Nothobranchius furzeri: one gene and its partner. The protein of the gene in region 1 purifies or fractionates together with the protein of each later gene. This does not show direct contact. Links are inferred from orthologs where the notes say so. Each region holds a gene or a part of one and is shown on either strand. Other genes may lie near its edges.

Region 1 (6,598 bases):
CATGTCAATATACAGAGCTTAAAGTTGTGGTGCGCTCATTTATTCAGTACATTTGCAGTGGTCTCTAGTAGGAATGAACGCCTTGTAGTTGTACTCTTGGGGGGGGGGGGACTCCGGTGCACCAGTTTCAGGAACGAGATGTGAGCTGCATCAGCTTCAGACGGCAGGATTTGGAGTCTTATTTCCTAGATGCTTTCTCTGCCTGGAGGAGTTCTGCAGTGTGGTGGAGTTACTGATGCTAATGGTTAGCTTCTACTAGCCGAGACTGATATTCTAAGGCTGTGTCTCAATTCAGGGTCTGCATCCTAAATCGGCCGGATTCGTCGGCCGGTTACGTCACAGCGCCGCGACTCGGCCTGTCCCAATTCGAAGACTCCTTCAAATGCGGTCGACGAATGCGGCCTTCTTTTCGCCTGAATGAAGGATGGGTCCGGTGTATCCTTCAACAGGTAGCATTTCCCAAGATGCCTTGCGGGCCGGCCGGCAGAAAAACTTAAAAACAATGGCGGACAGTGAAGCGGGAGCTGTCGGAGAGGATTGCGCATATAAATGTCAGTATAAACTTGAAAACTGTTAGGTTAAGGACTTTTTGTGATACATGAACGTTATTTTAGTTAGAAATGTTACAGTAAAAGTGCTTGTATTGCGGTCTCGGCTCATATGTTCGGCCGCGCTCGGTGTCGTACTTCTCCCGCTACGTTTTCCCCCTGATTTTAATAGAAGTTTGTATTTTAGGAACAAAAGAGAAAACCAGGGAATTTATTAAGCTTAGGGCGGAGATGGACCACATGATCACCGGAGCAAAGTATTCGGCGGCTGTGGCATGGAGGTACAATAACATCTCATATTTTAAAAACTCGTTTGAGTTTATTTTTTCTGCGAAAACAAGAAAGGAATAACCCGTTGTCCTCTTTTCTCTTCCTGTTTCTTTTCTTACATGTTTGTTAAGACTATTCTGGAGAAAATGGGCATCCAGGGGAAGGTGCCAGCGATGACCAGCTTCTGGAGCTGATCAGGGAGGACATGAGGCTGCAGATGGAGGCAGAGCAGCAGAGGGCACAGGAGAGAAGGGAGAACTTTGACAACTTTTTACTTTGCTAGAAAAAAATGGTTAATAAAGATTAAACATGTACATATAAAAGAAATATCTAAATAAAATCAGTTCTGCATTAAACTCTTGAATTTTATTTTTGTTTACAAATGAGAATTGTTCAATATTACCGGGTATCCGCTGGGTCTTAAAGTCTTAAAAGGTGATAAATTGGTTTTGGTCAAATTAAGACCCTTAGAAAGTATTAAAAACTATTATCACATCTTTGCTCAGGCTCAGCTTGTCTAAAGTATTTTCTCTGAATTAGCTCTCCAACAGTCAAGGAAATGATTAACCCCCAGAGACCCACGGTTGTAATATTACAACATCAGATTTAAGTCTACAAGAATAAACCTTCCCCATTTTTTTTCTTTTTTAAAACTACATTTACATTGCTAATAGGTCCTATTGTTCAGTTCTGCAACACTATTGGCTGTTAAAATGTGTAAATAGGCCCGTTTATCTGGCCTCCTAGAACAACATGTGAAAGGTTAAAAAAAGATTTTGCAGTTGTTTTCTAAATTTGGGTTTCTGGGGGTTAAAAAGCTAAATAAAACGTCGAGCTCCATCGTTTAAAGTTCCTTCTCCCTTCTGCCCAGCGGTTCCACGGTTGCTAGGCGACGGAACGTTCGCGGAGGGAGTTCATGAAGGCTAGGCCTGTCCAAATTCACAGCCGTTAACATCCGGTCTACCCGGCCGACGGAGGACCCAGCCCACGTCGGCCGAGTGGGCTGGGTCCTTCGAAGGATGCAGACCCTGAATTGAGACACAGCCGTTGTTGATTCCTGGATGCTAAAACAACAGCCTTCGCCGTCGCAAGCCAAGATTGGATCTGTCAGTGTTTTTAAATCCTAAGGTTTTACCAGCTATTTTCTGTCAGAAGCTAATGCAGGAGATACCGTAAGCAGCTGGAATCAGCTTCCTCAATAGGGCGGCCATGTTTGGCCTTCAGTGAGAAGCTGAGGAATGTTAGAGCCGCTGCTCCTCCTGATCAAATGGAGTAATCAGAGATGGTTCGGGCGTCTGACCAGTAACCGGACTCTGGAGGTTTGCCAGACACAACGACTTTTTAACAAAAATAAAACTGATTGTTTTTGTGGAGCCGAGTAAAACTGACTGAAAATATATCAAATTAACTCAAAATAATTCTACTTTAATACTATTTACCTTTTATCAGCATTTTGCCTCTCATCCTAGAGGTTTCTTCAGTTCCCATACTTTGGTTGTGGTCAGAAACAAAAACACTGATCAGCAGAAGCTCCGGAGGGGGAGCGGGTTGTCCAGCAATCGGAAAGTTGCTGGTTCAATCCCGGCTCCGACCAAATAATGCTGCTGTTGTGTCCTTGGGCTAGACACTTAACCCTCCTCGCCTGCTGGTGGTGGTCAGAGGGGCCAGTGGTGCCAGTGTTCGAAGGTCTCGCCTTGGTCAGTGCGCCCCAGCGCAGCTGTGGCTACACTGTAGCTAATCACCACCACCAGCGTGTGAATGGATGAATGACTGATTGTGTTGTGAAGCACTTTGGGGGGTTGTTGAGCCCCAAGAAGGCGGTATACAAATACAAATTGACCATTTCCTTCTTTCTTGCTGGCTTTTGTCTAAACGAAGGTGATGTTATTGTTCATAGAGTTAAAATTCATGTTGAAGTTCAGATTATTTCATCAATAAGATGTGTGGTTAGCTCGCTCATTTAATACATGAAATGTTTTTGGATCCTGCCTCTTGAAAGAACCGTAATCGTGAACGGATAGTAACCGGAATCGAAACAAGGAACTGGAATCGGAATCGTTCAAATATCCATGAGTAAAGATTTGGTCCTTTTTTCAATAAACTAGGTTAATTTAAAGAGAAAATCCCAACAGTAACTTAAAATGGTCTTGTTTTGATAATAAATAATCGATAATTATTTTGGATAATTAAAAATCTCCAGTTTGTTTAACAGAATTAAAACCTTGCTGCATCATCCTACTGTGAACTGTTCATAATATTATAATAATTATGAATTGCTTAGCCTTACGTGACTTCCTTATGTAATTTACCATCAGCAGTATATTCTGGCTTCCTCTTAAATGCTTTGTTAGAACAGAGTGCAACAGACTGAGACCGGGATCTAATCTCAGATTAAAAATCTCTGAGCGAGAAAAGCTTTCAAACAAACTGTGACCATGCTCTGAAGACCTGACCTCCACGGTCCCACAGAGCTGCTGCAGAGGGAGCTTTAGATGACCACAAAAACAATCGCACACGCCATTAAAGCAGCATCCCAGTGGCTATAACTCCACAGCACAGCCAAACCGCCTCAGACTAGTCGAGACGAGCTTCTCAGCCAACAGACAGTAGTTCTTAATGAAAGCTGCAGACTGAAGAGCTGCTGCAGCGACGACGGCGCTCTCCTTCTGATCCGTCTGGTGCATCGCATTCTCGGCTATTAGATTTGCCTTGATTCAGCTCTTCAATAAGCTCTGTGTGCAATAAAAGTGACAAATGCAAGTTCTGTCCATGTGTTTTAAACAAATGTGTCACAGCGGCGAAAGTTATTTACTTTCTTCCGTTCCATCCGTCGATAACAGCTCGTTATCTCACTGGCTGGGCTTTAAATGTTCCAGGCTGGACTGAAACTAAACATGAGTAATGAATTAGACTGATTTTAACTTAATGAAAATTACAGCTGCAGTAAAGGAGCTGCGGTGGACTGGCTCTCTATCCAGGGTGTACCCCCCCCCCCCCCCCCCCCCCCCCCCCCGCGCGACCCTACGTAGACAAAGCAGGTTCAGACAATGGATGGATGCAGTAACAGAGTTTTTATTTGTGTTTTTGCTTCCTACCAGCTTTAGCTTCTCTTTCTTTCTTTTCCCAGGGGCCGACCCCGAGGAGCTGGGGCCAGACTCCTGACCGACCGTGTTACCGTCATCGTCCCCTTCGTCCTCGTCGCCGTCGTCAAAGCACCACTCGGGCAGTTCAGGTGCAGGGGGTGTGTCCTCCACATCACCATAGCGACAGAAAAGCTCTTTGAGGTAGTCCCCCTTATAGATCCCAGGGGCCCGTGCCTGGGCGAAAGCAGCTACAGCTGCCTCCACGCTGATAAGGAAAGGCAGAACAGAGAGGAACATTTACTGTAGACAAAAGAAATACTGACATCATATGTTTGGTGGTTTTAGCTGGGACATGCCTAATAATAATAAAAATTAACTAATCCAAATTAAATATAGAAATTTCTTCATTTCCTTTATGCTTTTATATTTTGCTGAAGGCTCTGGATCATTGTCGGTCAACACCTCACAATTAACTCTTTTATTTGACTCATTGGGAGTCAGGTATTTTCTTACGACTGCTCATCATTTTGAAGTTGTTTGAGAGTAAAATAAGATTTCCAATCTCAGTCATCCGCCAAGAAGGGCTTTAACATGCAGCTGAATCATAAAATCATATTAAAGTGTACGTTTGTGAATATTTTAATGGATCAAACCAGACGAGATTCTTTACCTTTTGTTTGAAACGGTCTGCTAGTGTGCTGTAAAATAATCCTGCATTAGCTATGCTCCTCATCACCTGTTTAGGTCTGACGGTGTCCCATCTGTTGCACCGATCTCCACCGCATCGACGACATTTCAACTATAATATCCTTTTGAAAATGAAATGTGCTTTCCTTACGGAAAATAAAAGCATGTTTGCCATGTGCCTGAGCCACGGCTGTTGTGGACAAGCTAATCCTGGAAGCCGTTAGGGAATTACTGCAACATAGTTAGGGCAATAATACTTACAGAAGATCATTTTACGGCAAAAAGCAAAAATGACAAAGCAGAAGGCTTTCCTAAAAAATAAATAAATAAAGATGTGTTCTCTCCGACTGAACGGCTTCACCACAAACTGAAGTCACCATCTGGTCGGTTCATCTGACTGGTTCATGCTGGACTGACAGACGACAGCAGACTCATCGTGTCAGCAGTCAACGTCTTCTCTCTTCCTTTAGCCAGCGGCTTCCAAACACGACCTTCTGTGCAGCCAAACATCTGGTGCATCAGGTTTGCCCCTGCTATTTCTCTAACGGATATCATTTTGTTTTTGCAGCCTGAGGACGGAGTGCTTCATCTGAACACAGCTCTTTAAACCACATGCTCTCTGTGAAAATGCTTCTACATGCAGATGACACGCTTAAACTTCAGGGACCAGATGCAGAAAACGAATCATTTCTACAGAATGGTGAAGACTTTAAAGGGGTCCTAGAACTCTAAACTACATTTACCTTGTTGTTGTTGAACATAGGCAGCTTGAGGTGTCTAAAGTAGCACACCAGAAAGTCTCTGACCAGCTTTACTACGCAAACTGACAATGGTGTAATGGCTGCTGAGAAACTGTTTGTTCGGAGAAAAGCTGGATTAGCATGTCGTCAGCATAGATACACACCCTTAAATCTGCACGCCCCAAACCCACTTCAGTGTCTGCAATATAGAAATGTTGGTGACAGTAACGCTCGCAGCCGTACGCTAGCCCCAGCTACTGCTAACGTCCTCGTTGGAAAAGAGGAAAACTACTAACTACTACTACGGCTCTGCCGGAAAATATACTAATGTTTTTTTGTAAAGAGGGAAAGTAAATATGATTTAAGAGGTGTATGTATGTTTGTTCTACAAAAAGCCAAAAATGGCATGAAAAGGAGATGTATCTCTGTAATGGGAGTAAAATTTTGGAATGAGGCTAAAATAGAATTAAAATTAGCAACTTCTCTTTCAGTTCTTAAAAAACTTATCAGTAAAAATATTTTTGAAGAGTATTAATTTGATGTTGATGGATGGATTTGCGTTTTAGTTTTATTTGGGTTGTTGGTTCATTGCGGGAAATTGAAAAATTGTTTTGTAAGTAGGTTAGGCAATTATATAAGCCCAAACCGATTCAGTCATGAGATACCAAATAGACACCACATACAAATGAATGCATATGTTAGTGAGAAATGGTATTTGTATCTATTTGTATGACAAGTTATTGTACACATTATCTTAAGATGACTGACTGAATAAATTGATCATTCATTCTTTCACTAAGAAGGTTGAAGCACACAAGTAATGTTCCAGGATGAATTGGGAATGTCTAGACTTTGAATGAATGCCAGACAGCTCCATAGCTTGCCTGTTGAATAGTCTGGATACATTACACAGCACAGAGTTTCTAGATTCAGGCATCATAGGCGTAAATCAGCTAATCAGCACGCGTCTCATTTAATAATGGTGCCCTGGCCTAGTGGGCACGGTGAACCAGTCATTGCCTTGTAAGGCTTTATAGGGCAAACGTTGTACCGATCTCTCGTTGTGAAGAGCGAGCTGGGCCAGAAGGAGAAGCTCTCAATTTACCGGTCGATCTACGCTCCTACCCTCTTCTATGGTCACGAGCTTTGGGTAACGACCAACAGAATGATATCACGGATACAAGCGGCCAAAATGAGTTTTCTATGCAGGGTGGCTGTATTGCTGAGGTGGCTCGGGCATCTGGTCAGGATGCCTCGTGTCTCGTCTGGC
Region 2 (6,598 bases), on another chromosome or scaffold:
GGCTCCTTCAAAGGCAGTTTGGGTGTTGTGATTGATGAACACCTGACCTTTAAAGATCACGTTGCCTCTGTTGCTCGTTCATGACGCTTTGTGCTGTAGAACATATGAAAGATCAGACCATACCTAACACAACATGCCACCCAGCTCCTGGTGCAATCTACCGTCATCTCCCGCCTCAATTACTGCAACGCCCTTCTAACTGGTCTTCCAGCCTGTACTGTGAGACCTCTTCAAATGGTCCAGAACGCAGCGGCGCGTCTGGTCTTCAATCAGCCAAAAAGAGCACACGTCACCCCTCTGTTCATTGAGCTCCACTGGCTACCGCTAGCAGCACGCATCAAATTCAAATAGCTAACACTAGCATACAAAGTCCGAGATGGTACGGCTCCCATCTACCTGAATCCTCTTGCAAAGGCTTACGTCTCGGCCCGGCCGCTCCGGTCATCACAGGATCGTCGGCTAGCAGTGCCTACACCACGCTCAGGACAATCCAGACTCTTCTCATGCATCGTTCCACAAATGTGGAATGACCTTCCAAGCACTACCAGAACAGGGGCTTCCTTTTCAATTTTCAAGAAACTCCTGAAGACCCTGCTCTTCAGAGAGCATCTTCTAAACTAGCACCCTCCCTGCACCCGTCCCCCTCTCTACTGTCCACTCCTTGTTCCCTACTCTCCATGACTGATGTCAAGTTGTTGTTGTTGTTATTGTTGTTGTTAGCCTCAAGGGCAACATGCCGATTATCACTTGTAAGTCGCTTTGGACAAAAGCGTCTGCTAAATACATAAACATAAACATGAAGACACGACCACACGTCCCATCTGCTCTGAGACGTCCCACACAGGACCGGTGAAGGACGGAAGCACTCCGGGTTCTACAAACATCCAACATGAACTCCTACCTAGAACCTCATTAGGAGCTCTTCTGTAAACAGGAACTTTAAATTCCTGGCTGAAAGGTTTCAAACACGACCCAGGAAATAGCCGGACCCGCTCCAACGTTTAAATATAACTCCCGGTTCCAGAGCCAAAAGTTCTGGTCCGTTTGGACCCAGAAGTCTCACGAGGATCCAAAGATATTTTTTTAATTCTCCATTTAAGGAAAACTCAGTCAGCTGGGCTTTCCCAGCAGTATACATGGTTCTGGTTCTGTTCTGGTTCCACACACCCACCCCCTCCGCCGTGGTGCATGGGGCTGCTGATGCGGGGGCTCATTGGAGCAAATCCTCCCACCGTGAAGTTGGTCACATCTCTCGGCTGAAAACAGACATGAAATGGTTTCAGTAAAGTGGACCAGAACCAGACCCAGAGACCATACGGACCCGGGTTCTGAGAAAACAGATGAATAACCGCGAAACATCGGATTAGTTTTGTTACTAAATACATAATCAGATGCATAGTCATGGTCGTGTCTCCAGACCCAGAAGTCACCTTGGAGCCGCCGGCCAGAACCAGGTGTCGGGTCTTGCACACGAACATGCCGCCGTTCTCCACCAGCTTCTTGCAATGAAGGAAGGCGAAGCCTCTGAACAGGTGGCGGATCTCACCTTCACGGCCCTGAGGACGACAAACATCCGCACGTCAGCGGAAAAACCGGTGGACCGATCTGAGGTTTGGACTCAAGCAGATCAGGACCACATGGAGGTGGGCGGAGCCTCAGGGTGCTGAAGGACATCAGGTTTGTTGTTCCTCGAGGACAAACTTCATCTAACGCAGCAGACAAACCCAGCTCATTCTCACCGAGTGCGGCCCGTCGATGACTTTGACGATGTCTTTGACGTGGATGTTGTTCTGCTCGGAGTCCAGCGCCACAGCGAACCGGTTGTCCTTCCTGCGGTTGACCGCCTGGTGGCGAACTGTCAGAACCTTCCCGTGCATGTTCAGAACCTGCGACACAAGAAGACCTTAGATCCACGCAGCCGCCGGTGTTCCAGTCAGCTCAGGGCTGGGCTAATACCTGGAATGTCTCTCGCTCCAGTCGGACTATGACCCCAACCGTCTGTGGATCCAGCTGGACCAGCTCCCCCCACTCGTGCTGCCCCCCCACGTCCACACCGGACGCCGTCTCGGAGCAGAGCTGCAAGTCTCTGGGTAGAACCTTCAGCTGGACAGGGCAGAGGCACGGGAGACATTAGGACAAGCATGACGTACGGCGACGGGTCTGGACGAGAGGTTCTACCTCGTGCATGGTGAGGTCCGAAAAAAGGATGACGAAGTTCTCCTCCACCCTGACGATCAGACCCGTGTCGCCCTCGTATCGTCCAGCGATCACCTTCACGTGGTCGCCCATCCGGAAATACTTCCTCAGCTCGCTCGCTGGGAACTCCAGAGGGTCCTGCAAGAGAGAACACACACACACACACACACACACACACACACACACACACACACACACACATTCCAGAGAACTGTGTACGTGATGTAAAGGTTCAGCAGCTTTTCCACCAGCTGATGGTGTGTGTGTGTGGGGGTGTGTGTGTGTGTGTGTGTGTGTGTGTGTGTGTGTGTGTGTGTGTGTGTGTGTGTGTGTGTGTACCTTCAGGTCTTCGTGTTTGGGCATGATGGTGATCTTGTTGCCGTCGACACTCAGGATTTTTCCCTGCAGGTTGATTAACTCCCCCTCACACACTTCCACGTTGTCACCGGCCTGCAGATTGTGTTCGCGCTCCTTACCTGCGCACACACACACACGCACACACACACACACACGCACACGACATTTTGCAGAATTAATAGCTAGAACATGAACTTGGGGAAACGCGCTCTAGCGTGAACCACGTGACGGTGATTTCATCATGCAATGATCTGATTGGTTAAACAGCCTAAGAGGTCTCATCTGAACCCAGACGGTGCCGGGTCCTGGTTTGGGTCAGAGAGGAACAGCCTACCTGACTCCGTCACCACCTCCAGATCGATTCCTTCTGGCTGATCCTCGAACTTCTCCAGCTCAGACAGCGTGGGCTTCACACCGTCTGTGATCTGTCAGGAACCAACCAGAACCAGCTGCTGAGAACCAGAACCCTAAACCTGGGCCTGGTTCTAGACCTAAGGTGCGTTTTCTCACCACAGCAGACATGGCGAAGCTCTTGAACAGGAACCCTTTGCGACTGTAACGGTTCCCCTCAAAGATCATGAAGTCTCCGTCATGGCTGACCTCCCCGCCCAGAGACCTAACACACATCACCACAACCTTCAGACTCTCACACCCACCAGCTCAAAGCTCCACCAGCAGAAACGTCTCAGCCTCTACCTGATCTTCTCTGCGTCAAATAACCTCTGAGAAGGTCTCTTGAACTTCTTCCTCTTAGCAAACCAATCTTTCTGCGAGCACAAAGCAACAGAAGGTCAGTGGCTAGTTCCTGTTCCTGCAGATGAACCATCCTGGAATCCTCCTCCTACCAGAGTCATTTTGGCCTTGATCCGGTCCAGATCTATCCGAGGAATCATCTTCAGGGAGATGGTGTTCTGACTCGGCTCCACGTAGTCCACCTGGGTAAACAAACGCCAGCTACTGAGGCCAAAGTTCAGCTAGAGCCTCCCCGGGCCGTGTCACGGGTCGCTACCTGAGCGATGTCGTCCTTGTACAGGCCTCTCTTGAGTCGGACCCAGGACTTGGGCTTCAGGTTGGTGACTTCTTTCACCACCTTCAGCACATCCGTCATCTCCTTGATGGGAACCATCTGCTGGTTCCAGAAGCCCATCCTCAGGTTCCCGATGCCCTCGATGGCGGCTTTCACGTGCGTCTGCTTGTACGACTCCACGTAGATGTAGCCTTTCACGTGGTCGGGCGCCACCACCGACTTGATTTGGAGAGGCTGTGGGTGGAAACCGGAACAGGTAAGCACCTGCAGGTGCTAAGAGCGTGTGACATCACAGCTCCAACACACCCACCCTCCAGAGACTGAACGCTTACCGTGTCGGTGAACTGGTAGGCGATGAACTTCCTCATCAGAGCGATGGCCGTCGCCCTCTCCTCTCCAATCTGTACACACAGGTCATGGTTAAGTGTGTGTGTGTGCGAGTGAGCGTGGGTGTGTGCTGTTACACACCTTACACTTGACCGTCCACAGATTAGGGTCCCTGGTGAAAGGGTGACAGAAAACAGATTAAATGACCTCCCTGTGACATCAGCAGATGTCTGGATGCTAATTGGCGGGGAACTGTATACATACTTGACACCAGGAAGTAGTTGCTGCTGTGTGATGTCATCAGAGAGCTCCCCAGAGCCTCCGGAGTAACTATAGACCACAGAAGAAGAAATAAAAAGTCCAAAGTAAGGCTGGACAATGAATGGAAATGTATCCTTATGGAAATTTCTGACTCTGATCGAGATCATTTTTTCCATGTAGATGAATTTGAAACTGAAAAGATGCGTTTAGCTCGGAAACACTCGTGTCTCTTTAAAGAGCAAGTCACCCCCTACAAGAAACTTACTCCACTCCCACTTCCTGTTTGAAAAATGCAACAAATGCTGTTGCCTGGTAGACCGAGAGGGCGAAGCCGCTAACAAATACACACTCACAGGCAGACAACGACATTGTGACATCATAATGTATCAGCTGACATCATAGTGTACCTCTTAGCCAATAGCGTAGCAGATCCAAATTCAAATACAGTGCAGAACTTTTCCCTGACGACGGCACAACACTGACAGTTTTAGGGAGAATATTTAAATTTGAACTAAGACGCACTGAAGTGCCAAATTATTGAATACACGTGTCTACTGCACGATTAGACACTCGTTTATAGTTTATCAGCAAAAAAAAAAGTTGATTTGGGGGTGACTTGCTCTTTAAGAAGCCGTACCAAAACACACGTGACAGCCCCATCTAGTGGACAGCTTTTGTTTCTGCGCATATCTGTGGTTATCGTCCACTCATCGTTATCGAGGTGAAATCCTCAATATATCGTGATTTTAGACAACTCCAAAATAATAAAATAACCCAGAACTGCTGAGCTTTCATCTTTCATGAAGTGATGTCAGCATCAAGATGGAAGATTTCAGCTGAAGAAGCTTCGATAAGCCGGTCCGACTTCAGTCAGAGGACAAAACAGAAACGGGTGTTCGACTCACTGTTCTCCCGCTGGAGGTTTGGCGTATTTCCTCATGTAGTATTCACCCAGCGCCTCTTCTCTGGAGTCTCTGGGAGCCAACACACACACACACACACACACACACACACACACACACACACACACACACACACACACACACACACACACACACACACACACACACACACACACACACACACACACACACACACACACACACACACACACACACACACACACACACACACACACAATCAGAACATGCTGGGGTGAAACTAACGGACCGGTTCCCTCTCACCAGGAGGACGCTGAACAGATCTGGTTTCTCTGGAGGCTCATAACTCCCACAGCAGCTCCTCCTGTCTGATCCACCAACTAAAGCTTCTATAGGACTCCATTTTATTACAGCAGGACTAACAGAGGGACGCGTTGCCACGGTAACCGGTAAAACCATCGCTAGCAGAGGATACCTCAGTTGCCTCTGGTCCAAACGCTCAAGAGCTGCTGAGAAATTCTGGGACTTTTAGGTTAAACTTCAGGTTTTTTTTATTTAGTTTTTTTTTGACAAACCTTTATTTACAGTCAGAACATTACAAAAATATTAAATTCTTGCCAGAACTAACTAGAGAACGGACAAGACAGATGGAAAACACCTTCAACTTGGAGGTTAACATGAACGATTTACATTAATATCCTAAACTTCAGGTTTCACGCCTCAAACCAGCGACATTCCCGTCATCATCGGACCATTTCTGTGAAAACTGCGTGATCTACTTCTGCCTTTCAGTGCCGCTTCACCTTTAGCTCCTCCTCTGCAGCCTGCTGGGACCATGTGTGCGGAGTAATGACAGCACAATGGTGTGAGCTAGGGTTGTCACGGTAACCGGTGTAGCGGTAAACCCCGGTAAAAAACTTGACAATAATAATAACCGTCTTGTTTTTTAAATCTATATTATCTCGGTGGATTAGCGTGGCTGCGGTGTAGGCGCGGTGACCCTTACCAGCCACCGTATCATCTGCTGAAGTTGCCGGCGGCACATGCGCACTTTGTTGTTTACAACCAAAACTTTCTTGAAGCTAAAGCTGAAATAATGGCCAAAGGAGGAGACGGCAGCGCTCAGGACATTTATTATCCCTCAAAGAAGACAAAGGGGGAAGTACGGGCATGTTTTAGATATTTGAAGAATGCCGAGGGACAGCTGATAGAAGACGGCTATCCTGTTTGCAGCACGAGCAGAAAAAGTGTCTGTGAAAGGCAGCAACGCTTCAAATCTCATGACACATCTGCGTGACCATCACCCACAACTCTACAGTCAACGCAAGGCAAGCTAGCGTTAGCGTTTTAGCTAAAATGCGTGATCCGAGGATTTGGGTTGAGGGAGAATGCAACGAGTCACTATATAAAGCAGCCGCAGCGCCGCTACCTGCATATAAACCGTGTCGCGGACACCGCCATGTTGGAATGACGCTATGCATTACGGGGCTCCCAGGGGCAGATAAGAGTTGGTCTCTCTCCGAGAATAATTATGAATTTAACAACGATT

The links. Proteins that work in one complex are often made in the same cells at the same time.
Region 2: the proteins of rngtt (region 1) and supt5h purify together in Homo sapiens (affinity purification with mass spectrometry; 3 studies listed by BioGRID and IntAct, with this or other methods). This does not show direct contact. The link is inferred for Nothobranchius furzeri from reciprocal best matches to the Homo sapiens genes RNGTT and SUPT5H.

What each region holds. Positions count from the first base shown.
Region 1 is NC_091742.1:9,447,389-9,453,986, reverse strand, and holds part of rngtt (mRNA-capping enzyme), read right to left. Parts: intron 4,167-6,598; coding exon 3,914-4,166; intron 1,075-3,913; exon of another isoform or gene 950-1,074; intron 830-949; exon of another isoform or gene 736-829; intron 552-735; exon of another isoform or gene 462-551; intron 1-461.
Region 2 is NC_091753.1:56,978,338-56,984,935, reverse strand, and holds part of supt5h (transcription elongation factor SPT5), read right to left. Parts: intron 5,143-6,598; coding exon 5,074-5,142; intron 4,238-5,073; coding exon 4,172-4,237; intron 4,080-4,171; coding exon 4,049-4,079; intron 3,982-4,048; coding exon 3,913-3,981; intron 3,815-3,912; coding exon 3,563-3,814; intron 3,489-3,562; coding exon 3,399-3,488; intron 3,321-3,398; coding exon 3,250-3,320; intron 3,170-3,249; coding exon 3,064-3,169; intron 2,979-3,063; coding exon 2,888-2,978; intron 2,673-2,887; coding exon 2,536-2,672; intron 2,335-2,535; coding exon 2,179-2,334; intron 2,104-2,178; coding exon 1,957-2,103; intron 1,887-1,956; coding exon 1,740-1,886; intron 1,557-1,739; coding exon 1,431-1,556; intron 1,257-1,430; coding exon 1,172-1,256; intron 1-1,171. UniProt on the Homo sapiens protein: Component of the DRB sensitivity-inducing factor complex (DSIF complex), which regulates mRNA processing and transcription elongation by RNA polymerase II.